Linked DNA regions of Macaca fascicularis. The protein of the gene in region 4 interacts with the protein of the main gene of each other region in a pairwise test. Links are inferred from orthologs where the notes say so. Each region holds a gene or a part of one and is shown on either strand. Other genes may lie near its edges.

Evidence for each region.
Region 1: the proteins of GOLGA1 (region 4) and TFIP11 interact in binary tests that used the Homo sapiens proteins (3 or more experiments, as listed by UniProt). The two-hybrid records come from large-scale screens. The link is inferred for Macaca fascicularis from reciprocal best matches to the Homo sapiens genes GOLGA1 and TFIP11.
Region 2: the proteins of GOLGA1 (region 4) and VPS52 interact in binary tests that used the Homo sapiens proteins (3 or more experiments, as listed by UniProt). The two-hybrid records come from large-scale screens. The link is inferred for Macaca fascicularis from reciprocal best matches to the Homo sapiens genes GOLGA1 and VPS52.
Region 3: the proteins of GOLGA1 (region 4) and PDCL2 interact in a two-hybrid assay, tested with the Homo sapiens proteins (2 studies listed by BioGRID). The two-hybrid records come from large-scale screens. The link is inferred for Macaca fascicularis from reciprocal best matches to the Homo sapiens genes GOLGA1 and PDCL2.
Region 5: the proteins of GOLGA1 (region 4) and ATF4 interact in binary tests that used the Homo sapiens proteins (3 or more experiments, as listed by UniProt). The two-hybrid records come from large-scale screens. The link is inferred for Macaca fascicularis from reciprocal best matches to the Homo sapiens genes GOLGA1 and ATF4.

Annotation. Positions count from the first base shown.
Region 1 is NC_088384.1:25,181,290-25,187,155, reverse strand, and holds part of TFIP11 (tuftelin-interacting protein 11), read right to left. Parts: intron 5,849-5,866; coding exon 5,721-5,848; intron 4,110-5,720; coding exon 3,957-4,109; intron 2,020-3,956; coding exon 1,492-2,019; intron 1,363-1,491; coding exon 1,256-1,362; intron 1-1,255. UniProt on the Homo sapiens protein: Involved in pre-mRNA splicing, specifically in spliceosome disassembly during late-stage splicing events. Intron turnover seems to proceed through reactions in two lariat-intron associated complexes termed Intron Large (IL) and Intron Small (IS).
Region 2 is NC_088378.1:138,437,741-138,443,606, reverse strand, and holds part of VPS52 (vacuolar protein sorting-associated protein 52 homolog), read right to left. Parts: intron 4,656-5,866; coding exon 4,537-4,655; intron 4,255-4,536; coding exon 4,131-4,254; intron 3,861-4,130; coding exon 3,765-3,860; intron 3,640-3,764; coding exon 3,532-3,639; intron 3,308-3,531; coding exon 3,242-3,307; intron 1-3,241. UniProt on the Homo sapiens protein: Acts as a component of the GARP complex that is involved in retrograde transport from early and late endosomes to the trans-Golgi network (TGN).
Region 3 is NC_088379.1:78,299,959-78,306,313, reverse strand, and holds the start of PDCL2 (phosducin-like protein 2), read right to left. Parts: upstream 3,719-6,355; 5' UTR 3,597-3,718; coding exon 3,591-3,596; intron 1-3,590. UniProt on the Homo sapiens protein: Essential for male fertility, spermiogenesis and acrosome formation.
Region 4 is NC_088389.1:19,138,222-19,144,087, reverse strand, and holds part of GOLGA1 (golgin subfamily A member 1), read right to left. Parts: coding exon 5,776-5,866; intron 4,556-5,775; coding exon 4,386-4,555; intron 3,905-4,385; coding exon 3,793-3,904; intron 51-3,792; exon of another isoform or gene 50-50; coding exon of another isoform or gene 1-49. Other genes in the region: large ribosomal subunit protein uL6-like, read right to left, coding at 1-49. UniProt on the Homo sapiens protein: Involved in vesicular trafficking at the Golgi apparatus level. Involved in endosome-to-Golgi trafficking. Mechanistically, captures transport vesicles arriving from endosomes via the protein TBC1D23.
Region 5 is NC_088384.1:12,123,574-12,129,961, reverse strand, and holds ATF4 (cyclic AMP-dependent transcription factor ATF-4), read left to right. Parts: upstream 1-2,687; 5' UTR 2,688-2,880; intron 2,881-3,484; 5' UTR 3,485-3,576; coding exon 3,577-3,802; intron 3,803-3,903; coding exon 3,904-4,733; 3' UTR 4,734-4,818; downstream 4,819-6,388. UniProt on the Homo sapiens protein: Transcription factor that binds the cAMP response element (CRE) (consensus: 5'-GTGACGT[AC][AG]-3') and displays two biological functions, as regulator of metabolic and redox processes under normal cellular conditions, and as master transcription factor during integrated stress response (ISR).

The DNA.
Region 1 (5,866 bases), on a different chromosome or scaffold from region 4:
TGGCTCACGCCTGTAAACCCAGCACTTTGGGAGGCCAAGGCAGGCGGATCATGAGGTCAAGAGATTGAGACTATCCTGGCCATCATGGTGAAACCCTGTGTCTACTAAAAATACAAAAGTTAGCTGGGCGTGGTGGTGCATGCCCGTAGTCCCAGCTACTTGGGAGGCTGAGGCAGGAGAATTGCTTGAACCCCGGAGGCAGAGGTTGCAGTGAGCCAAGATCACGCCACTGTACTCCAGCCTGGCGACAAAGCGAGACTTCATCTCAAAAAAAAAAACACAAAAGAAGTCATTTTATGAAAAAGATATTTGCTCACACAAGTTTACAGTAGCACAATTCACAACTGCAAAAATGTGGAACCAACCCAAATGCCCACCAATCAACAAGTAGATAAAGAAACTGGTACATATATATATAATGGAATATGACTCAGCCATAAAAAGGAATGAATTAATGGCATTCGCAGCAACCTGGTTGGAATTGGAGACTACTATTCTAAGTGAAGTAACTCAAGAATGGAAAACCAAACATCTTGTGTTTTCACTCATAAGCGGAAGCTAAGCTATGAGGATGCAAAGGCGTAAGAATGACACAATGGACTTTGGGGACTTGGGGAAAGGGTGAACGGGGTGCGGGATAAAAGACTACAAATTAAGCCAGGCACGGTGGCTCACGCCTGTAATCCCAGCACTTTGGGAGGCCAAGGCGGGTGGATCACGAGATCAGGGGATGGAGATCATCCTGGCCAACATGGTGAAACCCTGTCTCTACTAAAAATACAAACATTAGCTGGGTGTGGTGGTGCGTGCCTGTGATCCCAGCTACTCGGGAGGCTGAGGCAGAATTGCTTGAACCAGGCAGCTGGAGGTTGTAGTGAGCTGAGATCACACCACTGCACTCTAGCGTGGCGAAAGAGTAAAACTCCGTCTCACAAAAAAAAGACTACAAATTGGGTTCAATGTATACTGCTCAGGAGATGGGTACACCAAAATCTCACGAATCACCACCAAAGAACTTACTCATGTAACCAAATACTACTTGTTCCCCAAAACCCTGTGGAAATAAAACATTTCAAAAAAAATAAAATAAAAAATAAAATAAATTCATGGCCAAATGAATTTAAATTCCTAAAGCGGTATCAGCATGAGCAGAGAATTAATCAAGGCTAGCACTGCTGCCTTCCCCCACCTTCAGCAGTCCTTCCCAACCCCCCAGCAGAAAGGAGCTGGAGCACAGAGCCCTGCCCTGTGGTACCTGTGAAAGGCATCTGCCGAGAGGTCCTGTCCGCCGTGAGACAAGAGCTGGTCATTCTCCAGGAGGCTTTTCCACTTGGAGATTATCTCGGTGCCGTAAGTGCAGTCCTGAGGAGAAAGGCAGAGTAGCTGAGGGGCAGCAGGCTTTCCAGCCCTCCCTGCCCACTGGACCAACTCATCAAGCAAGGGTAAGCCCAACCAAGAGGCAGGGATAAGTTGATTTTCCCAACAACTCACTTTGAGGGGATCCCACTCCTTGAAGTACTCCTTCATGAGTGGATAGACGATGGCCACGGCGAGGTCCACACGGTCGGACATCCTGTACTCCTCATAGTACTTGTCCTGCAGGGTTTCGAAGATGCGGGCACACTCGTCCAGGGTGAGGGGGTTGCTGCAGTCGGGCTGCATCCGCCGCTCGCACTCCTCCACCATCTCCAGGACCTTGCTGAGGTTGGAGATGACCCGCTCCTCATGGTCCAGGACCTCGGTCATCTTCTCCAGCTCGTGGAAGAGGTTGACCACCATGTCCCGCTCATACTGTAGCTGCCGGTCATTCTGGATGATCTCCTGCTCCGTGAGGTCAATGAGCAGCTGCAGGTTGTGCTCCAGCTCGGGCAGCGCAAAGCCTGGGGCCTTGGCCTCTTTGCCAGACTGTGGCAGCTGTTGGGACTGCAGCGGCAGCCCATCATCGGGAACGTTGTGCTTGTGGCTGATCTGACTGTAGCTGTAGTAGACCTTTTGCTCCCGGCCTGTCATGTCTATGACCTTGGAAAACGTAGAAGGACGAAGGTTAACACCACTGCGGCACTGTTAAACACACAGCTAAGCCCAGGGGAAGGCCCCATGACAGGGAAGTGTGTAGAAACCACATTATTCAACAGAGCTGGAGAAGGGCAGTGTTGTAAAGTGGGATCCGCACTGTCCTAGCCTAAAGGAGACTCCAGGGACAAAATCAGATGCAGCAAGCAGTTCTAGGTTGGATCACTTTGAGCAAGCCAGATGGAGAAGACTTTTTAGGGAAACATGAAATTTAAATAGGGACTGAGTATTAGTAGATGTGAAAATTTATTTTAATGGAAAGGTAGAAGCTGTACTGATCAAAGAAGGTAACACAATCAGAATATCACATTTTGATTTAAAAAATGCACATAAGCATAGAAAAAGATCTAGGATGTATAACAAGATGTTAACATTTGGTAATCTTGGAAGGATGGAAAATATTTCCTATATTTCTCCCCATTTCCTAACTTTCTAAAATGTACTACACACTGCTATTATAATAACAGTTGTTTTTTTAATTTAATTTTTTAAACTTTATTTTTTGAGATGCAGTCTTGCTCTGGTGCCCAGGCTGGAGTACAGTGGCACGATCTCAGCTCACTGCAAGCTCCGCCTCCCGGGTTCATGCCATTCTCCTGCCTCAGCCTCCCGAATAGCTGGGACTACAGGCGCCCGCCACCACGCCCGGCTAATTTTTTGTATTTTTAGTAGAGACGGGGTTTCACTGTGTTAGCCAGGAAGGTCTCGATCTCCTGACCTCCTGATCCATCCGCCTTGGCCTCCCAAAGTGCTGGAATTACAGGTGTGAGCCACCGCGCCCAGGCTTTTAATTTTAAAACAAAATAAAACATACAAAAGGCTAATTGAACAAAGGCAACCTAGGCAATGAGCTAATTCCAATATTTTAGGAAAACAGGAAATGTGAATATGGACTGCACTTCTGAAGCAGAATGATTCATCACCACTTTTTAAGTAAGTGTGTGATCCATGAACCACCAGCATTAGAATCACTGGAGGAGGAAAAAAAAAAAAAGTCTTGAGGTTCAGTTTAGACTCAAAATTCCTGGGAGGCACCTAGACGCCCGTATTTCTTATCAGGTCGTCCAGATAATATAACAGCACACGTTTGAGAACCCCACTAAAGGCTTTGAGGTCTATGACACACTATATATCCTACAGCAAATGACAACAGGCAACTGTCACCATTGTTCTTTGACTACTTGGAAAAGTAATGGAAAACGTAATACACTATATGCACGTAACAGTGAGTGAAAATTGAATGTATCTTAAAAAAAGAAAATACTCAATGCTGACTAAGGAGCCCTGGGAACTCTCTCCTGCCCTCCTGGTCAGACAGAGTTAATACAACCTTCTGAGTATTTGAATGCCTTAAGTACTTTTGTATTTAACATGGTGATTGCACATGTACATCTCTATCCTTAAAAAAATGTCTCAAACAAAGACGAAGTTTTATATACAAACTAACCAGTCAAAAATCCAAACTAAACCAGATAAAAGCTAAATGCCTAACAACGGAGGTAGGATCAAGCAATATAGGACAGCCACCCTCTAGAATTCTGCACTCATTATAAATCTTCACAGTGAGTTTTTAATAATAAGAATGTTACTGAATTCACTGATGTAAGCTCCAGAAACACAGGAACATCATTTGGTTTACCAGTGTAGTGCCGTGAAGAGTGCCTGGCAGAGAAGGAACTTGGTAACTATTACTAAATATGGGAGTGTAATGAATAGGAACATGATATTAATAGTATTCATTACACTCCTATAAAATAAGTGAGAAAAGCAAGGTATAAGAAAAAAAAAAAAGCCTACCTAGAAGATCCAAAAAACCCTAGAACATGTTCAGTGATTAATTCTGGGGTGTGGCTCCTGTACCAAGTGTCCAAAGGTCCCCATACCTTGACTTGAGAAAGCTCCTTCTGGGGAGCAGTGAGCTTCTTGCTAATCCTGCCCTTGGCCTTCAACTCTTCCACGGTCTTGTAAGAGTATTTGGGCTTCTTCTTGCTTCCACTTGGGTCTTTCCTCCACTGGCTCAGCTCCTTCTGAAACTCCTGAACCAGAAGGATACAGTCAGATGCAGCAAACCACTTTTTACAACAGGTGAGACAGCTAAGACCATTAACAGATGTCACCATTCACTGTCTTAGATTTATTTCCAGGTTCTATATGAAGGAAGGAAAGGATGCACCTGCATGACACCAAAACTATCTAATGATAACTCCTTGACCCCATTTACCCTCTTACAAATAATGAGGTTCAGAAGGCAGGTGCACCAGACGGGAGGGAGAAACAAAAATAAAGGAAACAACATGTATTGAGCATCTACTATGGGCAGGCACTATACTAGTTTAAATGTACCTCATGTAAAACTTAGAAATGCAATGTAAACGATTTTTTAAGTACACAATATCTTGTTTCTCACTTTAAAATGAAGATAAATAAGCAGGTCCTAACTCTCAAAGCAAAGGTATCTCTTATAATCAGGGTCTGCAAAATGTACCTGCCGTAGCTACAGGAGGAGCTACGGCAAGCTTGTCCAACCCGCAGCCCAGGACGGCTTTGAATGCGGCCCAACGCAAATTTGTAAACTTTCTTAGCATGATGGTAGTGGAATCCAGCCCACAGAAGTTGGTTTTGGAGTTGTCATTATGTTTTTCTCATACTGGTTAAGACTTGTCATTTTTTTCTCTAAAAGTATCTACACATCTGGCTACTTTGGGAAAATCAGAGGATCAGGCAATACTAAGCCCACATCCTCATAAGCAACAATCACCTAGAGCTGAATAAAGATTTACCTTCTAGACAGGCTAAGGCCTCACCTCTGTGCCACAGTCCCCACCACTCTTTATTGTCTAGCATCTGGCTCATCTTACTTGCTTCTGTGGTGTGCCTGGCACCTGTAGGCTTCTAAGTCTGAGAACCCCTGACTCAGAGCGGTCAATCCCACATTATCAAATGACTGTGTCATCAAAAGGTCAGTGACAAGAAGAGTAACGTGTTTCTTTGCAGCATCCTGCTTTCCCCCATAGATTCAAATGGGAAAAGAGTAATACTTCAATCAACAAAGCTGGCCCCTTCTATCACTGGGGAAAAGGGACACACAGCTGCCAGCAGATGGCTCCCTGCTGCACTTGGGATGAAACCCAAGCACCTAAAAATGGCTGTCAAGGCCCATCTTGTGGCCCGCCTACCCCTCTGAATGCACTTCCTTCCCCTCTGCTTTGTGTACCACCCTCCCACCACAACGGCTTCCTTTATGGTTTCTTAACCGGCAAGCTCAGAGCCTCTCAGTGTCCTCAGGCTTCTCAGCTCACCCTTCTGCCAAGTCTCAACTGAAATGTTTCCTTTCCTCAAAGGTTTCCCTGACCAGCCTATTTATAAAAGTAGGTCAACACCACCTCCCAACCCCCAACCTTATTTTCTGTCTAGGCAGGTCCTAGCACCTTCTGCCATTTCAACTGCCACTTCCACACCATAGCTGCTTGTTTACTCTCTGTCCACCGTGCGCCCTCTCATCATGGTGCACCTAGCCTTCAGCCCAGCACCTGGCATATGGTACGTGTACAATAAACATCTGAGGACTAACAGAATGAAGGGATAAATGAACAGCCATTAGAAATGGACAGGACACCACCCACCCATGTCTCCTGACTTCCAGTTACCTCTTCAGCTTCTTCCTCTGAGTCAACCACAGGGAAGTCTTGCATTGACTGCGTGGTGCGCTCGGATCCATAAGCCCCCACAGCACCTTTTCCCTTTCTCTGCTTGGCTTCGATTGGGTTAATGATACCTGAGGAATTTCAGCAAA
Region 2 (5,866 bases), on a different chromosome or scaffold from region 4:
GAAATCCTCCTGAAACTATCCCTGTGCCTCTCATGCACAGGTACTCGTTGATCTAAACGTTGCATTTATTGTACTCCTGCTTTTTTCCCCCTTTTGTGTGTGTGTTCTTGCTTTTAAAAGTAGAGCTATATATATGCCAAAACAAAAATTCATTCTGTTTTTCAGTGTCATTAAAAACAGAATCCGGGCCGGGTGCAGGGGCTCACGCCTGTAATCCCAGCACTTTGGGAGGCTAAGGCGGGTGAATCACCTGAGGTGAGGAGTTCACGACCAGCCTGGCCAACATGGTGAAACCCCATCTCTACTAAAAATACAAAAATTAGCTGGGCATGGTGGCACGCACCTGTAGTCCCAGCTACTAAGAGGCTGAGGCAGGAGAATCACTTAACCTGGGAGGCAGAGGTTGCAGTGAGCCGAGATCGTATCGCTGCACTCCAGTGTGGGAGACAGAGTGAGACTCCGTCTCTAAACAAACAAACAAACAAAAAAACCAAAAGAATCATTAGATTTTTCACTTGAGGGCAGTAATTCAAGAACAGTCCAGGCAACATGGCAAGACACTGTCTTTACAAAATTAAAAAATTAGCCCGCACACACCTACAGTGAATTCATTTTTGATAAAAGTGCCAAGAACATACACTGGGGAAAAGATAGTCTCTTGGTCAGGCACGGTGGCTCATGCCTGTAATCTCAGCACTTGGGAGGCCGAGGCGGGAGGATCACTTGAAGTCAGGAGTTCAAGACAAGCCTGGCCAACATGGTGAAACCCCACCTCTACTAAAAATACAAAAACTAGCCCGGCGTGGTGGCAGGCACCTGTAATCCCAACTATTCAGGAGGCTGAGGCAGGAGAATCACTTGAACCAAGGAGGCGGAGGTTGCAGTAAGCCAATACTGCACCACTGCACTCCAGCCTAGGTGACAGAGCAAGACTCCGTCTGAGGAAAAAAAAAGAAAGAGATAGTCTCTTCAATAAATGGTGCTGGGAAAACTGGCTATCCATTACACAGAAGAATGAAACTATACCCCTATCTCTCGCCACATATGAAAACCAATTCAAATGGATTAAAAACTTAAATCTAAGACCAAACTATGAAACTACTACAAGAAAACACTGGGGAAAATCTCCAAGACATTGGTCTGGGCAAAAATTTCTTGAGCCATACCCCACAAGCACAGGCAACCAAAGCAAAAATGGCCAAATGGGATCACATCAAATTAAAAAGCTTCTGCACAGCTGGGCACGGTGGCTCACACTGTAATCCCAGCACTTCGGGAGATGGAGGTGGGCGGATCACCTGAGGTCAGGAGTTTGAGACCAGCCTGACCAACATGGTGAAACCCCATCCCTACTAAAAATACAAAATTAGCCAGGCATGGTGGCACATACCTGTAATCCCAGCTACTTGGGACGCTGAGGCAGGAAAATTGCTTGAACCTAGGAGGCGGAGGTTGCGGTGAGCCAAGATCGCACCATCGCACTCCAGCCTGGGCAACAAGAGCTAAACTCCGTGTCAAAAAAAAAAAAAAAAGCTTCTGCACACACAGCGAAAGAAATAACAAAGTGAAGAGACAACGAATATTTGCAAACTACCCATCTGCCAAGGGATTCATAACCAGCATATATAAGGGGCTCAAACAACACTACATGACAAAGTCTAATAATCCTATTAAAAAATGGGCAAAAGATTTGAATAGACATTTTTCAAAAGAATACAAATGGCAAACAGGCATATATGAAAAGGGGCTCACCATCACTATCATCAAAGAAATGCAAATTAAAACTACAGTGAGATCTCATCTCACTCTACTCAGAATGGCTTTTATCCGAAAGACAGGCAATAACAATGCTGGCAAGGATGTGGAGAAAAGGGAACCCTTATACACTGTTGGTGGGAATGTAAATTAGTACAAACACTTTGGAGAACAGTTTGAAGGTTGCTCAGAAAACTAAAAGTAGAGCTACCATAGGATCCAGCAATCCCACTGCTGGATATATACCCAAAAGAAAGGACATCAATACATTGAAGAGGTATCTGCACTCCCATGTTTGTTGCAGTATTGTTCACAATAGCTAAGATTTGGAAGCAACCTAAGTGTCCATCAGCAGATGAATGGGTAAAGAAAACGTGGGACATGTACACAATGGAGCACTATTCAGCCATAAAAAATAATGAGACTCAGTCATTTGCAACAACATGCATAGAATTGGAGATCATTATATTAAGTGAAGTAAGCCAGGCACAGAAAGACAAATGTCATGTGTTCTCACTTATTTGTGGGATCTAAAAATCAAAACAATTGAACTCATGTACTCATGTACGAAGAGAGTAGGATGGCTACCAGAGGCTGGGAAGGCTAGTGGAAGGCTGGGGATGATTAATGGGTACAAACAAAAATAGGAAGAATTAATAAGACCTACTATTTGACAGCACAACAGGGTGACTATAGTCAATTATAACTTAATTGTACATTTTAAAATAACTTAGAGTGTAACTGGATTGTTTATAACACAAAGGATAAGTGCTTGAGGGGATGGATAAAGAAAAAAATAAAATTCATTCTAAAAATAGAAAATGGCCGGGCGCGGTGGCTCACGCCTGTAATCCCAGCACTTTGGGAGGCCGAGGCGGGCGGATCACAAGGTCAGGAGATCGAGACCACGGTGAAACCCCGTCTCTACTAAAAATACAAAAAATTAGCCGGGCGCGGTGGCGGGCGCCTGTAGTCCCAGCTACTCAGGAGGCTGAGGCAGGAGAATGGCGTGAACCCAGGAGGCGGAGCTTGCAGTGAGCCGAGATTGCGCCACTGCACTCCAGCCTGGGCGACAGAGCGAGACTCCGTCTCAAAAAAAAAACAAAAAAAAAAAAAAAATTGAAAATTAGCTAGGCGTGGTGGCTCATGCCTGTGGTCCCAGCTACCCAGGGGCTAAGGTGGGAGGATCGCTTAAGCCCAGGCTGTCGAGGCTGCAGTAAGCCATGTTCATGCCACTGCACTGCAGCCTGGGTGACACAGCGAGACTCTGCCTCAAAAAAGGAAAAAAAAAAAAAAAAGCAAAACCAAAGACAAAATAAAATAAAGTAGACCAATAATGACAGTATGTTGTGGATCAAGAGTTACAGTAATTCCATGTACCTGAGGTCCATTATGCCACTCCCTACACACACACACACACACACAAACACACAGGAGCTGAAAACAGCACACAAAGCTGTCCCTTCCCTTTTCCCCACACCCCTACCTGTGTCCGAGCATTGAGCAGCTGCTGGAAGCTCTCAACCTCTTTGCTGTCATCTGCAGCCCGCTCCTAAGGGAAGACAAAGGGAAATGTCAAGTTTGGGGAAAGCAGTCCTTCACTTCAGGATGTCCCCTTCATTCCACACTTATTGTACTAAGCTGGACACTGTGCCAGACTCCAAGAGTAAAACGCTGAACAAGACAGGCATCGTCTCTGCCCTCACAGAGCTAACAAAGCAGTGGGGGAAACCCAATTTTCTGGGTAGGAAGACAAGGAGAAGGAGCACCTATTACCATCAGCACACCCAGCATCATGTCATAGTTGTTGATCAGAAACACAAGCTGCTCCTTCCTTGAGGAGAACTCGGCTGCCACTCGAAGGACAAAATTCTCCACCTCCACCTGAAAAGGCAGAGAAGAGGTGACACCAGAAAGCAAGGCCATCAGGCCCCCCTCTGGCTCCTCCTCAGCCTCCACCCACTGGCAGCAGCCCTGCTGCTGGTAAGTCTCTCCTGTCTGACCCTTACCTGCAGCTGTCCCAGCAACTGCATGGTCCGTTCATTGGGAATTGTCTGGTTGATGCTGACAAGAGCGGAGGAGAACTCTGCGTAGCGGCGTGTGATCTAGGACAGAGTGGGAAGGAAAATCACACCCACCTCCTGGCCCAACCACCACCACCTCCCAACTCCCTTGGTCAACCCGCCACCATGTGATGTGACTCTACCTCCAGTCCCTCCTACCCACAGTGCACCACTCACCATGAGTTTTATCACCCTCCCAGAATGCCTGCTCAGAGCGTGGCCCATGACACAACTGTGACCGTGGCCAACCCCCACAATGATGCTTAGAGCCCTGCCTTTCAAGAACCCTTTGTTACCCTTGCCCTCCCTCACATAGTGGGGCCGAGTATCCAACCCCCCTAGGCGCTGGGGGTCAGTGCTTCGGACGCTCTGGACATTCATCTCCAGGATCAGCTCAAACCGTGGCCATAGCAAGGCAAGCACCTGTTCCCAGTACCTGTGGGCTTAATCAGAATCTGAGGTCAGCCGGCAAGGAATGTTGGAGAGGGATGGGGGGGAGTGGGGCACCATTCAGTTTAATGGTCAACAGTTAGTTGTGGGGATGGGGGGGCAGTGGTTGGAGAAAGGTGAGTCAAAAAGCAGCAGTACTGCCTCTGGAGCAAATCAATGGGAATAAAGGTTAATGATACCAGGTCAGTAGAAGTCTAAGGTCAGGGCAGAGTCATGCAAGACCAAGAGTTTGTGGCCTGTTGGGCATCAAGGACCAGAATTCAGTGACCTGTCCAGAGCAGGAACATCCCTCTTTGCTGCAATGTTACGGAACCGGAGAACAATGTGGATACAAAGAAAAACAGCAATGGCATCGTAGCAGTCAGCGAGATAGGACTCCAGGTGTTTCTATGTGATTGGGGAACAAGCAGAGGATTAAAAGAGAATGTCAGTTTGTTTTCCTCAGTGACTATGAACAAACGCATGTGTTTCTTTGGGGATGATGCACTGGATAGGACAGAAGGGAGAGATGTAAAATGCAACTGCCCCCTGCTTTCCTGTCCACTGCCACCCGGGTGGTCCTACTGCCTTACCCACCAGGATCTATGTTTTTGGCTTTTTTTGTTGTTGTTTTTTTGAGATGGAGTTTCGCTCTTGTCGCCCTTGTCGCCTAAGCTGGAATGCAGTGGCGCAATCGCAGCTCACTGCAACCTCCGCCTGCCTCCCAGGTTCAAGCGATTCTCCTGCCTTAGACTCCTGAGTAGCTGGAATTACAGGCGCCTGCCACCACGCCTGACTAATTTTTGTATTTTTAGTAAAGATGGGGTTTCACCATGTTGGCCAAGCTGGTCTCGAACTCCTGACCTCAGGTGATCCGCCCACCTCAGCCTCCTAAAGTGCTGGGATTACAGGTGTGAGCCACTGCGCCCGGCGTTTTTGACTTTAGAGACAGGTTCTTGCTTTGTCACCTAGGCTAGATTGCAATGGTACAATCACAGTTCACTGCAGCCTCAAACATCTGGGCTCAAGTGATGTTCCCACCTCAGCCTGCCAAGTAGCTGGGACCATGGGTGTGTACCACCATGCCTGGCTTATTTTTAAATTTTTTGTCAAGACAAGGTCTTGCCATGTTGCCCAGGCTGGTCTTGAACTCCTGGCCTCAAGCAATCTTCCTGCCTTGGTCTCCCAAAGTACCGGGATTACAGGTGTAAACCACTGCACCTGGCTGCAGCAGGATCTACGATCACAAGCCTATCACAGCAGAGTTCCAGGCTGAGCTTGGGTCAGGGGTTTGGAGGACCCTCAGTTTTCACGTGCTATTGCCTGATTCTGATTGTGGGGCAGCAGCAGGGGGAGTCTCAGGGACCCTACACTCTGAGGATTTCATGGGAAGTAACACTGTGACAAGTCTAAGTAACAAGGCTTAGACTTTTTTTTTTTTGAGATGGAGTCTTGCTCTGTCACCCAGGCTGGAGTGCAGTGGCACAGTCTTGGCTCACTGCAACCTCCTCCTCCTAGGTTCAAGCAATTCTCCTGCCTCGGCCTCCTGATTAGCTAGGATTACAGGCTGCGCACGCCCGACTAATTTTGTATTTTTAGTGGAGATGGGGTTTCACCAT
Region 3 (6,355 bases), on a different chromosome or scaffold from region 4:
AGTTTAAAAAAAAAAAAAAAAGGGACAAACTCTCTCTAACAAGCCCTTTTATAAGGGTATCTAATCTCATTTACAAGGAAGGAGACGAATGGCCTAATCACCTCTTAAGGGCCCCACCTCCTAATACAATCACATTGGAAACACCTGAATTTTGGAGCCGACACAAACTATAGAAAAATCTTTTGCCCATTTTTATATTGGGTTGTCTTTTTGTTGTTGAATTTTAGGAAGTCTTTATATTTTCTGGATATTATTCTCTCATCAAATATATGATCAGCCAATATTTTCTATTCTGTGGGTTGTCTTTTTTTTTTTTTTTTTTTGAGATGAAGTCTCGGTCTATTGCCCAGGATGGAGTACAGTGGAGCAATCTCGGCTCATTGCGAATTCCGTTTCCTGGGTTTAAACGATTCTCCTACCTCAGCCTCCTGAGTAGCTAGGATTACAGATGCCCACCACTACACCCAGCTAATTTTTGTATTTTTAGTAGAGATTGGGTTTCACCATGTTGGCCAGGTTGGTCTCAAACTCCTGACCTCAATGATCCACCTGCCTCAGCCTCCCAAAGTGCTGGGATTACAGGTTTGAGCCACCACACCTCACTACTTATCTTTTCACTCTCTTGATAATGTCCTCTGAAGCAAAAAAAAAAAAAAGCTTTAAATTTGGTAAAGTACAATTTATTTATTTCTTTTGTTACCTGTGCTTTTGGTGTCATAACCAAGAAATTACTGTCAAACTCAATGTCATGAGTCTATCTTATGTTTCCTTTTAAGAGATTTCTACCTTTAGCTATAGGACTTTGATGTAGTTTGAGTAAATTTTTGTATACAGTTATGAAAGAAAAATAAATCTTAGGATCCCCAAATCAGTAAGCCAAGGGAAAAGTCAAGTTGGGAACTATGTCAAGCAAATCTGCCTCTCATTTTATTCCTAAATAAAATAGCTACAAAGACAAAAAGCTACACACCTCCCTCACAATTTGCCCAAAAGGAAATTCCTTGTGGACAAAGGACAGACTGGAACTGAAAATCATCCCTCTCAGACTCACCTGAGACAAATGCATATGTGACTGCTTCCTCTGCTCTGTTGTTTATGTAAAAATGCAGATTCGCTGAGCCAGACTAAATTGTGTATTCAGTGAAAAGCTAATCAAGGACTCAAAAGAATCAAGGACTCTCTTATCTACTTCTGACCTGAAACCCCCTCTTCAACTTGTCCTGCCTTACTATACCAAATCAATGTACATCTTACACATATTGAGAATGATGTCTCCCATCTCCCTAACATATATAAATGCAAGCTGTACCCCAACCACATTGGACGCATGTCATCAGGACCTCTTAACACTGTGTCACGGGTACATCCTTAACGTTGGCAAAATAAACTTTCTAAGTCAACTGAAACCTGTTTCAGATATTTCAGATTCACAAAGTCTAAGATAAGGTTCCAGTTTACCCAGCACCATTTATTGAAAAAAAATTAACTATTGCCCACTTAATGGTCTTAGCACTCTTGTTAAAAATTTTTTGAAAAGATGTGTGGGTTTATTTCAAGGCTTTCTATTCTACTCTTGTCTGTTTTATAGTTTTCAGTATTTATAAGTACAGTTGTTTTTGTTGTTATTGTTGTTGTTGTTTTTTGAGACAGAGTCTCGCTCTGTCGCCCAGGCTGGAGTGCAGTGGCGGCTCACTGCAAGCTCCACCTCCTGGGTTCATGACATTCTCCTGCCTCAGCCTCCCGAGTAGCTGGGACTACAGGTGCCCGCCACCATGCCCAGCTAATTTTTTGTATTTTTTTTTAGTAGAGACAGGGTTTCACCGTGTTAGCCAGGATGGTCTCGATCTCCTGACTTGTGATCCACCCGCCTCGGCCTCCCAGAGTGCTGGGATTACAGGCACTGTGCCTGGCCAGTCTGGTTGTTTTATAACCTATTTCTGACCATTCTGTTATCTAAAAATCTCTGTAACTCTGTTTTTCTTGGTTCATGGTCTCACGGTGGCTTATTTCCTTGTGTGCTTGGTTACCTTTCACTGATTTCTGCTTTCTGTCCTCGAAAACTTATTGATGGGAATTCCTTAAAGCCTACACTAAACACATCTTCCTCTATAGAGGATTTATATTTTTTTTCTTCTAGGTATTTGAGGGCACTATAATATATAACGAATTCACAGTTTAAGGTTGCTGGACTACCCAACAATACGACTCAGGTTACAAATCCATATGAGAGCTGTCTTGGGCCGAAATGTTTTTTGACGGGGTTTAATCCTTTTCATTTTCTCCTCTGTTCCACTAAGCACCAAGATATCCTTCCCTAAATTCTCCTAGACATGCGTTTACCGCCAGTTCACCCTCCTACTCATCTCCCATCCTTTGATGAACCAAACCCTTTGGTTCCACCTCAAATAATTTTCTATCATTCTGACTTCTTAGCTGGGACAGACTCCTGTAATAAAAGACAGATTAACAAGAGAAAAATCCTGTTTATTAGTATGTATACTTCATGGATACATTGGAGATACCAGGGAAAATGAGTGTATCTCAAAGAGGTTGCTTAGAATTCAGACTTAAATAACATGTTTAGCTGGAAAAAAAAAAAAGGGTATGTGGGAAGCAAGTGATGGGGAGGAAACCAGGAAAAGCAGAGTGTATTAAAAGTAAGCTTTGCTAGCCAGGCATTGTAGTCCCAGCTCTTTGTCCCATTATCCCAAGATTATAGGTTGGGTCCCAACTCAAGCCTGTAATCCCAGCACTTTGAGAGGCCAAAGCAGGCAGATCTTTTGAGGTCAGGAGTCCGAGACTAGCCTGGCGAACGTGTTGAAACCCTGTGTCTACTAAAAATACAAAAAGTGGCCAGGCGTGGTGGTGCACTCCTGTAGCATATATAAATGCAAGCTGTACTCCAACCACGTTGGACGCATGTCATCAGGACCTCTTAAGGCTGTGTCATGGGTACATCCTTAACCTTGGCAAAATAAACTTTCTAAGTCAACTGAAACCTGTTTCAGATATTTCAGATTCACAAAGTCTAAGATAAGGTTCCAACTTCATTCTTTTGCATGTGGATATCCAGTTTACCCAGCACAATTTATTGAAAAAAAAAATTAACTGTTGCCCATTTAATGGTCTTAGCACTCTTGTTAAAAACTTTTTGAAAAGATGTGTGGGTTTATTTCAAGGCTTTCTATTCTACAAAAACTAGTAGGTTTTCTGTTCTTATCATTTTTTAAGGTAGTGGAGGAGGACAAATTGAATTACACTTGGGCTAACGTTGCTGGTCTATTTCTTAAGTCAAAAATAGTATGCAGCAGTAAGATTTCTATGATTCTGGTGTGAAATACAATACGCAGCAACTCTTTTAACGTTTTCTCCAGCGACAGACACAAGTCTTAAAGGCTGAAAAAATGGCGTTTTCCTAGAGGATTTTTCTCAAAACTAGACAGAGAAGCACGCAAAATTTAGCACTTTTCAAGAACAAATGTTAGAGCCTAATTCCTGTGTTCGCCCTCCCCATTTGTGTCTCTTGGCTTCGGGCCCAGCTGGAGACCCACTGGGTGTTCCAGGGTCGCCCGGCGAGTCCCTACCCTCACCTGCATGATGTGCTGCTCTGCCCCTCAAGAGCCCGCGTCGTCCTGTAGCTGGCGAGGCGCCACGGATTGAGACCCGCAGCCTCCTCCAGGCAGGAAGCGCGCCCGCTTCAGGCCCGGCGGTTTCCAGTGCCCGCCGGAAGAGGCAGAGGCGAACAAGGACTTGTTACGCTTGTGCGGACGAGGTAGCTTGGTTGCCAGGCAATGCAGAGGCCTAACACAGGGGATGGTCGTGGGTACTGACGCCCCAGAGCCTGGAGCCTCTGTCCCAAGCACTGCCTTTCCCGTTCGCTGTGTGGTGCTGGTGTGGACATTCCTGTCAACTTTTCCCTCCATCACCACCACTGAATCAACCGATTGTTTCAGAGCCTCTGGCACCCTTCAAACCGAGTCCTGTCTTCATGGAGAAATAACAAACTCCTGGAACGGAGAACCTTTATTCAGAGGAGGCATTCTTAACCTGGAATCCATAGACTATATATATTTTTTTGTTTTGAGACAGGGTCTTACTCTGTCGCACCGGCTGGAGTGAAGTGGTGCAAACACTGCTCACTGCAGCCTCCACCTCCAAGGCTCAAGCAATCCTCCTGTATAAGCGTCCCAAGTAGCTGGGATCACAGATGCATGTGCCATCATACCCAGATAATTTTTTTTAAATTTTTTTTGTAGAGACAGGGGTCTCACATGTTGCCTAGGCTGGTTTCAAATTCCTGGGCTCAAGTGATCCTCCCACTTCAGTCTCCCAAAGTGCTGGGATTACAGGCATGAGCCACCACACTTAGCCCATACAACATATTTGGATAGACTTTATGGAGTATCTTGCTCCCCAGTCCCCAAGTGTACACATAATTTTGTTGTAGGTGTACATTTTTTTTTTTTCTGAAGTTAAGAACCAGAGCTTTCATTAGATGCTTAAATGGGACTGTAGGCCCCCCAATTCCATCTTAAAAATCCACTGCCTTAAGTGACAGAAGCTCTGGCTTTAGGCCAGGCACGGTGGCACACGCCTGCAATCCCAGCTCTTTGGGAGGCTGAGGCAGGCAGATCACTTGAGCTCAGGAGTTCAAGACCAGCCTGGCCAACATGGTGAAACTTCCATCTCTACTAAAAATACAAAAACTAACGGGATGTGGCGGGTGCCTGTAATCCCAGCTACCCAGGAGGCAGAGGTTGCAGTGAGCCAAGTTCACACCACTGCACTCCAGCCTGAGTGACAGAGTGAGATCTGTCTAAACTGAGGGGAAAAAATAAAAAAATAAATAAAGCTCTGGCTTTAGGTAGGATATCTAGACAGGTGGGGGTTCCTTTGTGTTTAAATTAAGGAAAGGATGTTTACTGGGAGCTGCCAGGAACTTGAGGAAAACACTTGGTGTTTTACACAAGTTGTTTTACACAGTTCCAGAGATGTACTCACAGGACTTGGAAAGAAAAAAAAATGTTTTTAATGACATAACTTTAAACTTGGGTTCAGCATGGGACCAGTCCATCTGTAGTGCCCAGCGGGTACTTGATACAAATCTTATACTCCTAGTAGCCCATATATTCTGTTGTGTTTGCATATGAGACATGAATTTGTTAAATATAAATAATTAAAAACATATCACAATTTTTGTAATAATGTCTTGGTATTTTCCTCATCTTCTTCCTCTTCCTCTTTCTTCTTCTTCTTCATCCCCGGAGCCCTAAAAATGTTACCTATATCTCTCTGGATTTCTGAGAGGCCCTGGGAACTGCTGATTAAATTAACATTCTTTTCTTGTTCTGACAATCCAAAGTCCAGGTTAGTTGAAGTACTGTGCACAGAACTAGCTAATGCAGCCCCATGCATTTGTGGCTTTAGGGCAGCATGCTCTCCTTGCTCTCAAGTCCCCATCTTATCAAGGCATTTTTATTTTCCTAAAAATAATGTATGTTTTTCTCTTCTTCTTCTTCTTATGTTCTTCACTCAGGCTGACAGGAAGTGAAATTCAGGAACTTTGTTAGTAAAAGGTGTAACTTAAGCTATAATAATTGCTCAACATTAGGAAGACAAAGGTTTGTTAGATACTCTGCTCTGAAGAATATCTGTGTAGACCTAATTCTACCTACTCAAAAGAGCCACTGCTTTCTAATCAGTCAGCAACCTTCTTGATGGAGGAGGTGGGAACCTAAGACAGAGGTCAGAAGAAAAAAGATCAAGGGAACCTGAGAGGAGATAAATTCAACCTCCATCTGAAGTTAATTCTGTGCCCACTAAACATTGATTTGATGTTAAAAGTTCCCAATTGTGTTCATGATCCTCTATTAATAAGATTATTTTCTTTCTGCTAATAGACAGAACTGCTTGCCTTTCAGATGTTGTGAGGTGAAGTAACTTATTTTAGGATAAACTGAATACTATGAATTGGTAGAAAAAGTTGGTCCTCTGATATATTTGTAGCAATCAGATATCCATTACACAGTTTATAAATCAGAACTTGATTATTGGACTATTGGATGGGTTATGGCCCAAGCCTCCAACTAGTATAGTTTCAGTTGGTGCTCACATTCTAAGATTGGTAGCTACTGGGCATTCTGGTATTTATGAGAGCTGGTGTTTTGTCACTGACAAAATCCAAATACGATAAACTAATACAGCTCATTAAAACTCAACTCTCAACTCTCTATGAGTGCCTTTAATGAAAACATCAAAAATGCATGTGGGCAGGGTACGGTGACTCATGCCTGTAATCCCAGCACTTTGGGAGGCCAAGGCGGGTGGATAACCTGAGGTCAAGAGTTCGAGACCA
Region 4 (5,866 bases):
CAACAGTTTCTGGAATGTCGACAGTCTGATTGCTGAGAATGGTCTTCATTCTCACAGTAGATGCAGCAAAAAAAGCCAGAATGACTTCATTTATACAACATTAATAAGCATGGAAAACTAAAGAAGATATTGTTTAGGGATAAAACTGACAACATTAGAAAGCAAAGCAGACAATGAAGCAATCTCTGGATAGTACTTACTTCCAAAGGAAAAAGGAATGGGATGGAATAGTGAAGGGCACAGAGGGAACCTCAAAGATAAACACATTGTTCTTTTTCTTAACCTGAGGGATAGCTCAGAGGGCTCATTGCCTTGTTATACTTTCTATCGTACTCATATTTTATAAATATGATTTTATATATACTCAGTAAAGACAAGAAAAAAGTGAATTCCAAATTAACAATCTTCACACAATACCAGCCCATCTGTTGCCCAAGCCAGAAGCCAATAAATCACCCATAAAAATACAGACTTTTGTCTTCCTCTCCTCCCATATCTGTTATATTAGTAAGTCTGTCAATATTTCTTACATTTGTCTACCCACTATTATCTTCACCACCACACTTGTCAAAGCCTCCATCATCTTATGGTCGAACAACTGCAAAAGCTTCCTAAGTGGAAGACCCTCTCAGTCTCCTAATGGCCAGAGTAATCTGTTATTCTCTCTTATTCTGTATGTCACTGGCTTTCTTCTAGTTCCTTGAATGTGCTAATACTTTTATTTGCCTCAGAGTTTTTGTTCATGCTGTTCCCTGCCTGAAATTCTCTCTCATTATCCCTTTCTCTCCAGCCTGAGCACTGCATCAAGTGTTACTTCCTTAAGTGTTCTACAGCTCCAAGACTGGATCTGATCTGATATCTTTTAATAGGATCTCACAACATCTCGTAGTTTTCTTTCGGAACACTCATCACAGTTAGTAATTATATATGTGATTACTGATTAATGTCTGACTTCCCTTCTAGACTATAAGCATTACAAAGGCAAGAACTGTATCTATTTTGCTCACCACAATATTATGAACACCCAGCACAGAGCCCAGCACATAGTAAGGCTTAACTAATCTTTCTAGCATGAATGAAGAAACTTACTGTGACCACACTCTGGACTTCCCTGAGCCCCATTTTTCCAATTATAAAAACAACAGATGGTTCTAATTGACATCAAAGGGTCCCTTGAATATCAAAGTTGTGGCCAGGTGCCTATAATCCCAGCACTTTGAGGGCCAAGGTAGGCAGATCACTTGAGGCCAGGAGTTCAAGTCCAGCCTGGCCAACATGGTAAAATCCTGTCTCTAATAAAAATACAAAAATTAGCTGGGCATGGTTACATGTGCCTGTAGTCCCTACTATTCAGGAGGCTGAGACGGAAGGATTGCTTGAGCCCAGGAGGTGGAGGTTGCAGTGAGCCAACATCACGCCACTGCACTCCAGCCTGGGTGACAAAGTGAAACCCTGTCTCAGAAAAAAACAAAATACAAAAACCAAAGTTGTGTGTCTGTTGTCCCCCTTCTTCCACGACCCCAAATGTACTCTCTAACCTTCTGCCTTTTCTGCCTCCTGTTGTCCTCCTGATCCTTGACATTCCAGTTCCTCTAGGAAGATTTCCTTGACTCCTGGGCTGGAATGTACTTCCCCTATGGCATATATTTTGTATTTGAAAAATCTAGGGTTGAGTGTGGTGGTTCCCCTCTGTAATCCCAGCACTTTGGGAGGCTGAGGCGGGTGGACTGCTTGAGCCCAGGAGTTTGAGACTAGCCTGGGCAACGTAGCAAAACCCCATCTCTACAAATAATAATAATAATAAAAATTAGCCTGTTGTAGTGGTGTGTGTCTGTAGTCCCAGCTACTTGGGAGGCTGAGGTGGAAGGATCACTTCAGCCTGGGAGGCTGAGGCTACAGTGAGACGTTCATGCCACTGCACTCCAGCCTGGGTGAAAGAGCAAGACCGTGTCTCAAAAAAAAAGGAAAAGAAAAATCTAGTTCATTTACATGAGACTTCTTGTTTGAGCATTTCTTTTCTTGTGATTACAATAGGTTTGAGTTCTATAATGAAACTGTAAGCCTCTGAAGGAAAACAACATCTGTACTGAGATTTTTAGTTCGTTGAGGGTAGAAAGCTTGTATCACAGTCATTCATTCATATATATATTTACTGGGTGCTCCTTATTGTGAGGCAGCAAAGTGCAATAGAATAAGCATGAGTTTTGGAATAAGACTTGGGTTAGAATCCAACTCTGTCACTTACTGTATAATTGTGAACAAGGTCAATAACCTCTCTTAGTTTCCACTTAGATATCTGTAAGTATGATAATACTTAGCTAGAAGGGGTATACAGACCTCTATTGACAAAATCTTACTGTACTGTAATTATGCTCTAAGGCTCTGTCTCACTTGAGATCAGCATTTCTCAAAAGATGAGGGTAGGGTGGATGGCACTGCCCAACAGGGGGGTGGTTCTGTGATGTGAGGGGAAGGGCTGGATGTCAGTGACTAAAGGATGCTATTGGCATTCAGAACCCAGAGGCCAGGAATGCTAAATGTCCTGCAATGCAATGGACGATCATACAATACAAGTTGTTCTACTCAAAATGCCAATAAGAAATATGCCATTGGGAAATACTACTTTATTTTATTTCTATTTATTTATTATTATTTTTTTGAGACAGAGTCTCTCTCTGTCACCTAGACAGGCTGCAACGCAGTGGTGCAATCTCAGCTGACTTGCAACTTCCACCTCCCAGGTTTAACTCAAACTCCTGCTCAGCCTCCCAAGTAGCTGGAATTACAGGCACATGCCACCACACCCAGCCTTATTTTTATATTTAAAGACAGTCTTGCTCTGTTGCCTGGGCTGGAGTGCTGTGATATGTTCCTAGCCCACTGCAGCCTTGAATTCCTGGGCTTAAGCGATCCTCCCACCTCATGATCCCAAACGGCTGGAACTACAGGTGCACATACCACACTGGCTAATTTTTTTTTTTTTTGGTAGAGATGGGGTCAAGAGGAGGACCTCATGTGATCCTCCTGCCTTGATCTACCAAAGTGCTAGGACTACAGGCTTGAGTCACAGTGCTGGGCCTAAGAAACACTACTTTATATTCAGTAATATTATTCTTCATCTTTATATTCTCAGAGTTTAGCACAGCCCTAATGTAGAAAGAAAACAAATGTATGTCAATGAAATGAAAAAACAAATTGTAATGACATCATTTGATTATGTGCCATAGAACAAACTGGATTACAGCCAAGTATGTCAAAGGTACAGCCCTGGTCATGTCAGCCACTATTGTTATATTTTTCATGCTCAAGGTCCATTATGTGCTTAAAGATATATTTGAGTCAGGCCAGGTACAGTGGCTCATGCCTGTAATCTCAGCACTTTGGGAGGCCGAGGTGGGTGGATCACGAGGTCAGGAGTTTGAGACCAGCCTGGCCAACATGGTAAAACCCCGTCTTTACTAAAAATACAAAAATTAGCCAGGTGTAGTGGCGGGCGCCTGTAATCCCTGAGCAGTAAGAGCAAGACTCCGTCTTAAAAAAAAAGAAAAAAAAAGAGACATATTTGAGTTGACCAAATGGTATAAGAATTCCTGATGGGAAAATACTGACTACTTCTGCTAAGCAATTGTATGGCCATTTCCATCTGAGTGCAGCCTGGCTAGAATAAGAAATGGAGCCATGTGGACTGCATGAGAAATATATGTTCAGTAGTCACTCTTAGGCAGAAATATCTGAAAGAACTAGTTTTTATGAATCTTAGAAATCCAGGTCTTCTCCTCATACTCTACTTACCTTTTGCAAATCAATGGAAAGCTGCTGAATGAGTGCTTGGAGCTCTTGTTCCTTTTGTTCCAGGGTTGTGATCTTACTTTCTGCACCTGTTTTTGAAGCTATCACATGATCTCTTCATCAAAAGAAAGCAGACAATGAACAAATTTGGATATCTCATCTAATATACAGTCTTCTGTAGGAAAAATACAAATGGTTCTTTCTATGTCAGGGCTACAAGCATCATCAGCCACATGCAGTTTTCAATGGGAAAAGCCTCAGCTCTCTCTGAAGCAGGAGCCCAAGGAGAAAAAGTCCATCCTAGTTTAAGAAAGAAATCCTGACCTGCCTCTCCTTAGTCTATAATACCTTACAAACTAAAACCACATTGAATTGCTCAGCAGGGCTGGAACTGTCCTGAGTTTCAGCAGCTGAAGGGGAAAGTGGGTTGGAGGTAGGGTGGGGCCTAAGTCCTAGGCAGGTAAGTATGTGTCCAGAAGCCTTTGCCAGCACTGGAATCAGAAAATGGTGTAATGAACAACGGGGAAAGGTGAGCAGGCTATAGCCAGAACTACACTAACACCTCTTCCCAAGGGCCCCACAGACCAAGCAAGAACCTCTGCTCTTCCAGCGTTGAGTAGTGTCTCTGCAATTCTTCTAGCTTCTGGCTTAAGTCTGATGACATCTGGTTGGAGTTCATCAACTCCTCCTGGGTACGACTAAGTTCTCTGGTTCGTGCCTCCAATTCTTGCTCCATTTTCCCTAGACTTTCTTCTTTTTTTAAAAGCTGACACAAAAATACAAAGTTTCATTGGGCTATGCTAAGAAAAATACATTTAAGACCGGGCAGGTGGCTCACACCTGTAATCCCAACACTCTGGGAGGCCGAGGCGGGTGGATCACTTGAGGTCAGGAGTTTGAGACCAGCTAACTGTTCGCCATGGCTAACATGGCAAAACCCTGTCTCTACTAAAAACACAAAAATTAGCCGGGCATGGTGGCGGGTGCCTGTAATCCCAGCTACTTGGGAGGCTGAGGCGGGAGAATCACTTGAACCTCAGAGGTGGAGGTTGCAATTAGCCAAGATCATGCCACTGCACTCCAGCCTGGGTGACAGAGCCAGGCTCTGTCTCAAAAACAAAAAAAAAATTAAAAAAGAAAAATACACTTAAAAACAAATCTGGGCTGGGTACAGTGGCTCATGCCTGTAATCCCACCATATTGGGATGCTGAGGCATGCATATCGTTTGAGCCCAGGAGTTTGAGACCAGCCTGGGTAACATGGTGAAACATCATCTCTACAAAAAATACAAAAATTAGCCGGGAATGGTAGTGTGCCTGTAGTTCCAGCTACTCGGGAGGCTTAGGTGGAAGAATCCCTTGAGCCCTGGAGGTCAAGGCGGCAGTGAGCCACCATCATGCCACTGCACTCCAGCCTAGGTGACACACACACACACACACACACACACAAAAAAAAAAAAAAAAAGAAAAAAGAAAAAAAAATCTAAACTTGTCAGGCGTGGTGGCACACACCTATAGTAAAAGCTTACAGTCCCAGTTATTTGGGAGGCTAAAGTGGGAGGAGAGCTTGAGCCCACGAGTTTAAGGCTGCAGTGTGCTATGATCACACCTGTGAGTAGCTATTATACTCCAGCCTGGGCAACACCGTGAGACTCCATCTATTTAAAAAAAAAAAAAAAAAGTGGACCAATAACTAAACTTTTATAACATTTTTGTGGGCTTATAAGAGGATTTATATACCTAGTAGGTAAAAAAAAAACAAAAAACCAAAAAAACAAAAAAACAACAACAGAAAAAGAGAACATTTCAAACAGAAGTTTTCTATTTTAATAAATTTTAAAACATACAAATATGATTAACATCAAATATGATTAGTATCAAATATTAGTGGTGTTATGTTTATCAGCAATTAGAGAGTGATGACTAGTAAAATCTGAGTGAATAATCATCTATTCAGTATTTAGCTACTAAAACAAAAATGCATACCATGTGCTTTATTTTACTTAGTTCCTGCTGCTGGAACCCCTCTAATTCATCCATTTCATCTCTCCTTTGGAAAAGATTCATACTCTGGTTC
Region 5 (6,388 bases), on a different chromosome or scaffold from region 4:
AATTATTGGTCCCTGAGGCCAAGTCCACAGCTTGCCTTCTAGTCACTTGCCTGCCCATCAGTGGTGGTGGATGTGTTAGCTGGTAGATTTGGAATCAGTCACCAGTCTTTCTGTACTGTCTTGGTTAGGTCTGTATAAGTAGAGGCAGCTTAGCCCTGAGACCCAGAGAGCTGCTATCCTTTTTCTCCTTGCGGGAGGAAATAAAACTGGGGAACACAATGTCCTTCCATAGCATAGGAAGAATAAAATAAAAGTCTCCTTTCCACCAGTGTTGACTTGTGTGTGTTGCATGAAACATCTTCCTGTGGGAGTGGTACTGGGTCTCCATTTTCAGCTAGAGTAACCTTTGAAGTGTTTGAGCTAGGTCTCTATAAAAGAATGCATGGGACAGGCTGCCATGAGAGTCATTCTTTCATGACCTTTTCAGTGTCAAAACTGGGGCAGTGTTACTTTAATACTCAACCATTTGCACCATCATCTGTCAGGAGGTACTGTCTATAGCAAAAGGAGAACACGTCCTGTGGGTCCCTAGTTCGTCCTTTGGAAGACATGGCTAATGGCTCAGGGATTCTTACTGCCTCTGCATGGAAAGGCTAGACAACTCCTGTATTTATTATTATTAAGACAGGGTCTTGCCCTGTTGCCCAGGCTGAGTTGCAGTGTTGTGATTACAGCTCACTGCAGCTTGGAATTCCTGGGCTCAAGCAATCCTCCCACCTCTGCCTGAGTAGGTGGGACTACAGGCTGGAGCCACTGCTCCTGGCACCAATTCTGTATATCTCAACACTCATGATTCCCCAAAGAGAAAGAAAAACCATACTTTTATTCCAGCATCCGGTATGCCTTGTGTATACCTGTATACAAGTTTTAAAGTTGTTGGTTTCATCTCATTAAATAATAGTTAAGAGTCCTCTGAGGCAGCAGGAGGATGTGGAGAGTAGCACAGGTCAGGGTCAGGTGACCTGAGTTCTATGAAGGGTAGCAGCAATAGCAACTATTATTGGGTGCTTACATGTACCAGGCGCTATGCTAAGTGCTTTACATGTATGACTTCACTTCATGGGGCAAGGATACTCATCAGTAGTCTCATTTTACAAATGAGGAAACCGAGGCTCAAAGAGGATAAGTCACTTAGCCAAAATGTCCCAGCCAGGATTCTTTTGGGTGAGCTCCCCAAAATCTGTCTTCTAACTCCTACCCTATACTCCCTCCACTGGGAGCTGTGCGACTTTGAGCAAGAAGCTTCATCCCATTGGGCCTCGGTTTACCATTGGAAAGGACTTGTGGGCGAGGTTGAATGAGCGCAGCAGATGGCCTGTGGTTATTTAGAGCAGTGCTTCCCTGGTGGTTTGATACCACAGCGATCATAGAAATACTTGTGTGGCCCGGTGAAATGGAGGCGGAAACAGTTTCTACCTTCACAGGGCCTGACTGGAGGGGGCTGAGGACGATGCGGAGGTTTCCTGTATTAAAACAGACTACCCCCCCTTCCCAACGCACAACCCCGAGCACGTGGCCGTGGGTTCCCAAGCGCCTCTCCTCCCAGGGCCATGGGCATGACCACTGAAAAGCGGGTTAGGCCGGGGAGTTCAGAACCCGGAGTGAATCGAAACTACCCCAGGTAGATGGCAGCGAAGAAAATTCTGTTCTTAGGGGAACGCAATCTTCGGACACCAGAAGTTCCCCTATGATGCTATTCTGTGGCAGCCTCGCACTTGAGCCGGATGAGAATTGTAAAAACCCAGGTTGGGCGACAGGACGGCGCGTCTTCCCGGCTCCTTTCCAGAGTTTAGACGGAGCCATGCAGACTCAGCTGGCCTTTGAGTGTAGGTGGGCAGGCCCGAGGCGCCCTCTCGAGACCCCTTCAACCTCCCGGGGGCAGCAACACCGTGTCGGCTATGAATGGCGTCTCTGGAAAACTCAGGCTTGGAACAGGTAACCCCGCGGTTTCCGCAGGCCAGAAATTAGCCCCCGCAACCGAAGGACGCGCAGGCTGGGAGTGGCGGCGGGGCCGCCAGTGGCGGACCTCCACTGAGGGCGGCGGGACCCGACCGCAGGGGCTGGGCCCTGAGGCCACTATGGGGTGCGCTAGGCTAAGGTCTCCTGGGGGCAGAAGCCAGTGCGATTGTAGCTGGCCAGCAGGCTGGCCGGCCTGAGGCCTGGCAGAGACCCGAGACCCCGACCCTTCCCACGCGGACTCCGTGATCCCTCTCCCAGCAGCCGCCCACCTGGGGCCCTGAGCCAATAAGAGCTCGAGGTATATATGACTCACCGTGCCTGGGCCAATCAACTTGACGCGCGCTTTTCGCCAGCACCTCGCGCGATAACTTGGCGTCCTCGGCCTTCACAATAAAAACTCTCCGCCGGAAAACGACCTCTCCCCGCCCACCGCGCCGACACCGGAAGCGAGGCGTGTCTGCGAGATCACTCCGCGCTCCGGCGGCGAAGGAAAGAACGGACTCTGATCATAGAAGTAAAGTAGTGCACCTCTCTCGTTTCGTGAGGTCATAAGAACAAACACCTTTTCTCGTCACAGCTACGCGCTGGGCATAAACGGTTGGGGCGTCAAAGGGAGGGAAACGAGCGGGCGGGAGGAGATGGTCACGTGGCCGTGGCGGAAGGATGCGTCGGTGCTGCGTCCCCTTAGAGACGAAGTCTATAAAGGGCCGGCGGGCGGCTGTTGCGGCCATTTCTACTTCGTCCGCCCACAAATGTAGTTTGGTTCGCACGTGTGCGCCTTCCCTCCTCCCCGCCCGCAGGGTCCACGGCCACCATGGCGTATTAGGGGCAGCAGTGCCTGCGGCAGCATTGGCCTTTGCAGCGGCGGCAGCAGCACCAGGCTCTGCAGCGGCACCCCCCCCCAGCGGCTTAAGCCATGGCGTGAGTACCAGGGCGGGTCGTCCAGCTGTGCTCCCTGGGCCGGCGCAGGTTTTGGGTTGGTGGGGTGCGGCCTGGGGCCCAGGGCGGTGCCGCCAAGGAGGAAGCGATTTTACGAGCGCCCGGGACGCGTGGTCTTTGCTTGGGTGTCCCCGAGACGCTCGCGTGCCCGGGATCGGGAAGGCGCATTCTGGTGCCAGGACTGCTTCCACAGGGGCCCTGCCGCCCTCGGACCCCGAATCCCCCAAGGGTCCCAGGGGTCTCGGCTTTCCCCCCCCGCGAAACGTGGCAAGAACCAAGATGGCGGCGGCAGGGCGGCGCCGCGGGCGTGAGTCAAGGGCGGGCGGTGGGCGGGGCGCGGCCGCCCTGGCCGTATTTGGACGCGGGGACGGAGCGCCTTCCTCTTGGTGGCCGGTGGAAGAATCGCCTGGTCTCCGTGAGCGTCCATTTTGTGGAACCTGAGCCGCAGCAGGGAGGGGCGGATGCAACTGCCCCGTTGCCGACTCTGTAGATGGCTGGACTAGAGAAGTCCCGCCTCGTAAGTGGAAAGATGAAATTCTCAGACCAGCTAACCTCTAATGGGAGTTGGCTTCTGATTCCCATTCAGGCTTCTCACGGCATTCAGCAGCAGCGTTGCTGTAACCGACAAAGACATCTTCGAATTAAGCACATTCCTCGATTCCAGCAAAGCACCGCAACATGACCGAAATGAGCTTCCTGAGCAGCGAGGTGTTGGTGGGGGACTTGATGTCCCCCTTCGACCAGTCGGGTTTGGGGGCTGAAGAAAGCCTAGGTCTCTTAGATGACTACCTGGAGGTGGCCAAGCACTTCAAACCTCATGGGTTCTCCAGCGACAAGGCTAAGGCGGGCTCCTCCGAATGGCTGGCTGTGGATGGGTTGGTCAGTCCCTCCAACAACGGCAAGGGTGAGTGGGCCACCACCACATCGTCTGGGTGGGATCTAGGGTTAGGGGCCTGTTATCTTTGTATCTGACTCACTTGGCCCTGTCATTCAAATCTTTTGCAGAGGATGCCTTCTCCGGGACAGATTGGATGTTGGAGAAAATGGATTTGAAGGAGTTCGACTTTGATGCCCTGTTGGGTATAGATGACCTGGAAACCATGCCAGATGACCTTTTGACCACGTTGGATGACACGTGTGATCTCTTTGCCCCCCTAGTCCAGGAGACTAACAAGGAGCCCCCCCAGACGGTGAACCCAATTGGCCATCTCCCAGAAAGTTTAACAAAACCCGACCAGGTTGCCCCCTTCACCTTCTTGCAACCTCTTCCCCTTTCCCCAGGGGTCCTGTCCTCCACTCCAGATCATTCCTTTAGTTTAGAGCTGGGCAGTGAAGTGGATATCACTGAAGGAGATAGGAAGCCAGATGCCACTGCTTATGTTGCCATGATCCCTCCGTGCATAAAGGAGGAAGACACCCCCTCAGATAATGATAGTGGCATCTGTATGAGCCCGGAGTCCTATCTGGGCTCTCCTCAGCATAGCCCGTCTACCAGGGGCTCTCCAAATAGGAGCCTCCCATCTCCAGGTGTTCTCTGTGGCTCTGCCCGCCCCAAACCTTACGACCCTCCTGGAGAGAAGATGGTAGAAGCAAAAGTAAAGGGTGAGAAACTGGATAAGAAGCTGAAAAAAATGGAGCAAAACAAGACAGCAGCCACTAGGTACCGCCAGAAGAAGAGGGCGGAGCAGGAGGCCCTCACTGGCGAGTGCAAAGAGCTGGAAAAGAAGAATGAGGCTTTAAAAGAGAGGGCGGATTCCCTGGCCAAGGAGATCCAGTACCTGAAAGATTTGATAGAAGAGGTCCGCAAGGCAAGGGGGAAGAAAAGGGTCCCCTAGTTGAGGGTAGTCAGGAGCGTCAGTGTGCTTGTACATAGAGTCTCTGCTGTTGCTGTGTGTTGGAATAAATTATTTTGTAGGGAAAGTACTTGTGTGGATTCTTTTTCTGGCAAATTAGCCGAGTGAGGCGCCACCCACCCATCCCAAACTGGTCATAACATTCCTTGTGAGATCTGGGGAGGAGGGCAGTCCAGGACTGAAGATGGGTACCCAGAGTGGGAACTGCTCGCCCTGCTAGGTGTAAGCCACGATGCCTGATGACTCATGGGGCCATACAGCCAGATAGTTGGCCAACTGTAGCAAGTTGGGTCCTTTACCCAGAGGTGAGTTCGCTGGTTGTGTAGGGAGGAGGCTGGAGCTCTCTGGGAGGTTGGGAGGGAGGGACAGCCTGGGCCTCCACCTATTTATTCAAGAGGGCTTCATGCCAACAGCTGTCGCCTGAAACCCTGGATAAGCTTGCACAGTCCTTGAGATAAGCACACAAGATTAGTTTTCACTTGTTACCCTGAGTTCTGTAGAAGCGTGTTCCTGAAGAAAGAAATGGCTCCTTTTCGGAATTGATGCTGAAGCAGGACAGGAGCTGAGGGTTGGCCTCCATTTCTCCTTATGGGGTGGAAGGATGACATCCTGCACAGGTTCTGGCTAGAGCTGGGCACAAAGGCGACAGTTCCTGTGAAGGCTGTTGTGCCTGTTGCTACCTAAATAGAAGGCCTGGCATCATGCTAGGATGGATCAGCGCCTAGAAACCACGCCTCCTCACCGCAGCTTCTTCCTGGCGGGGAGACCTCGCCTTTCCAGGCAGGCGATGTCTTTTGTGTTGCGGATGAGTGCTTGAATGCAAGGATCAGCGTATCCTGGGTAGGTCTGTCTTTCCTCTTGTGTCCTTCAGGATCACAGTTTTCCTTCTGTGGAAGGTGGTGTAGACTGGGTGTGCCCGGGGAATGGCTGGGAGGACAGTGAGGGTGAGTGCGCCCAGGCACTGCTGTAACTGAGCACAGTACGTGTGTTCACCCCGTCCCCGAAGCACACCCAGGAGGCAGACGCCACACTCAGGAGGATTTTTTTTTTTTTTTTTTTTTTTTTTTTTTGAGACAGGGTCTCTCCCTGTTGACCAGGCTAGAGTGCAATGGTGCAATCTCGGCTCACCACAACCTCCACCTCCTGGATTCAAACGATTCTCATGCCTCAGCCTCCCGAGTAGCTGGGATTACAGGTGCTCGCCACCATGCCCAGCTAATTTTTGTATTTTTAGTAGAGACGGGGTTTCACCATGTTGGCCAGGCTAGTCTCGAACTCCTGACTTCCTGATCCACCCACCTTGGCCTCCCCAAAGTGCTAGGATTACAAGCATGAGCCACCGCGCCTGGCCTTTTTTTTTTTTTTTTTTTTTTTTTTTTTTTACTTTTTAGAGATTGAGCCTATTCCCCAGGCTGGAGTGCAATGGTGCAATCTTGGCTCACTGCAACCCCTGCCTCCCAGTTTCAAGCGATTCTCCTGCCTCAGCCTCCCGAGTAGCTGGCATTACAGACGACTGCCACCATGCCCAGCTAATTTTTGTATTTTTAGTGGGGATGGGGTTTGTCATGTTGGCCAGGCTGGTCTCGAACTCTTGACCTCAGGTGATCCGCCCGTCTCGGCCTCTTAAAGTGCTGGGA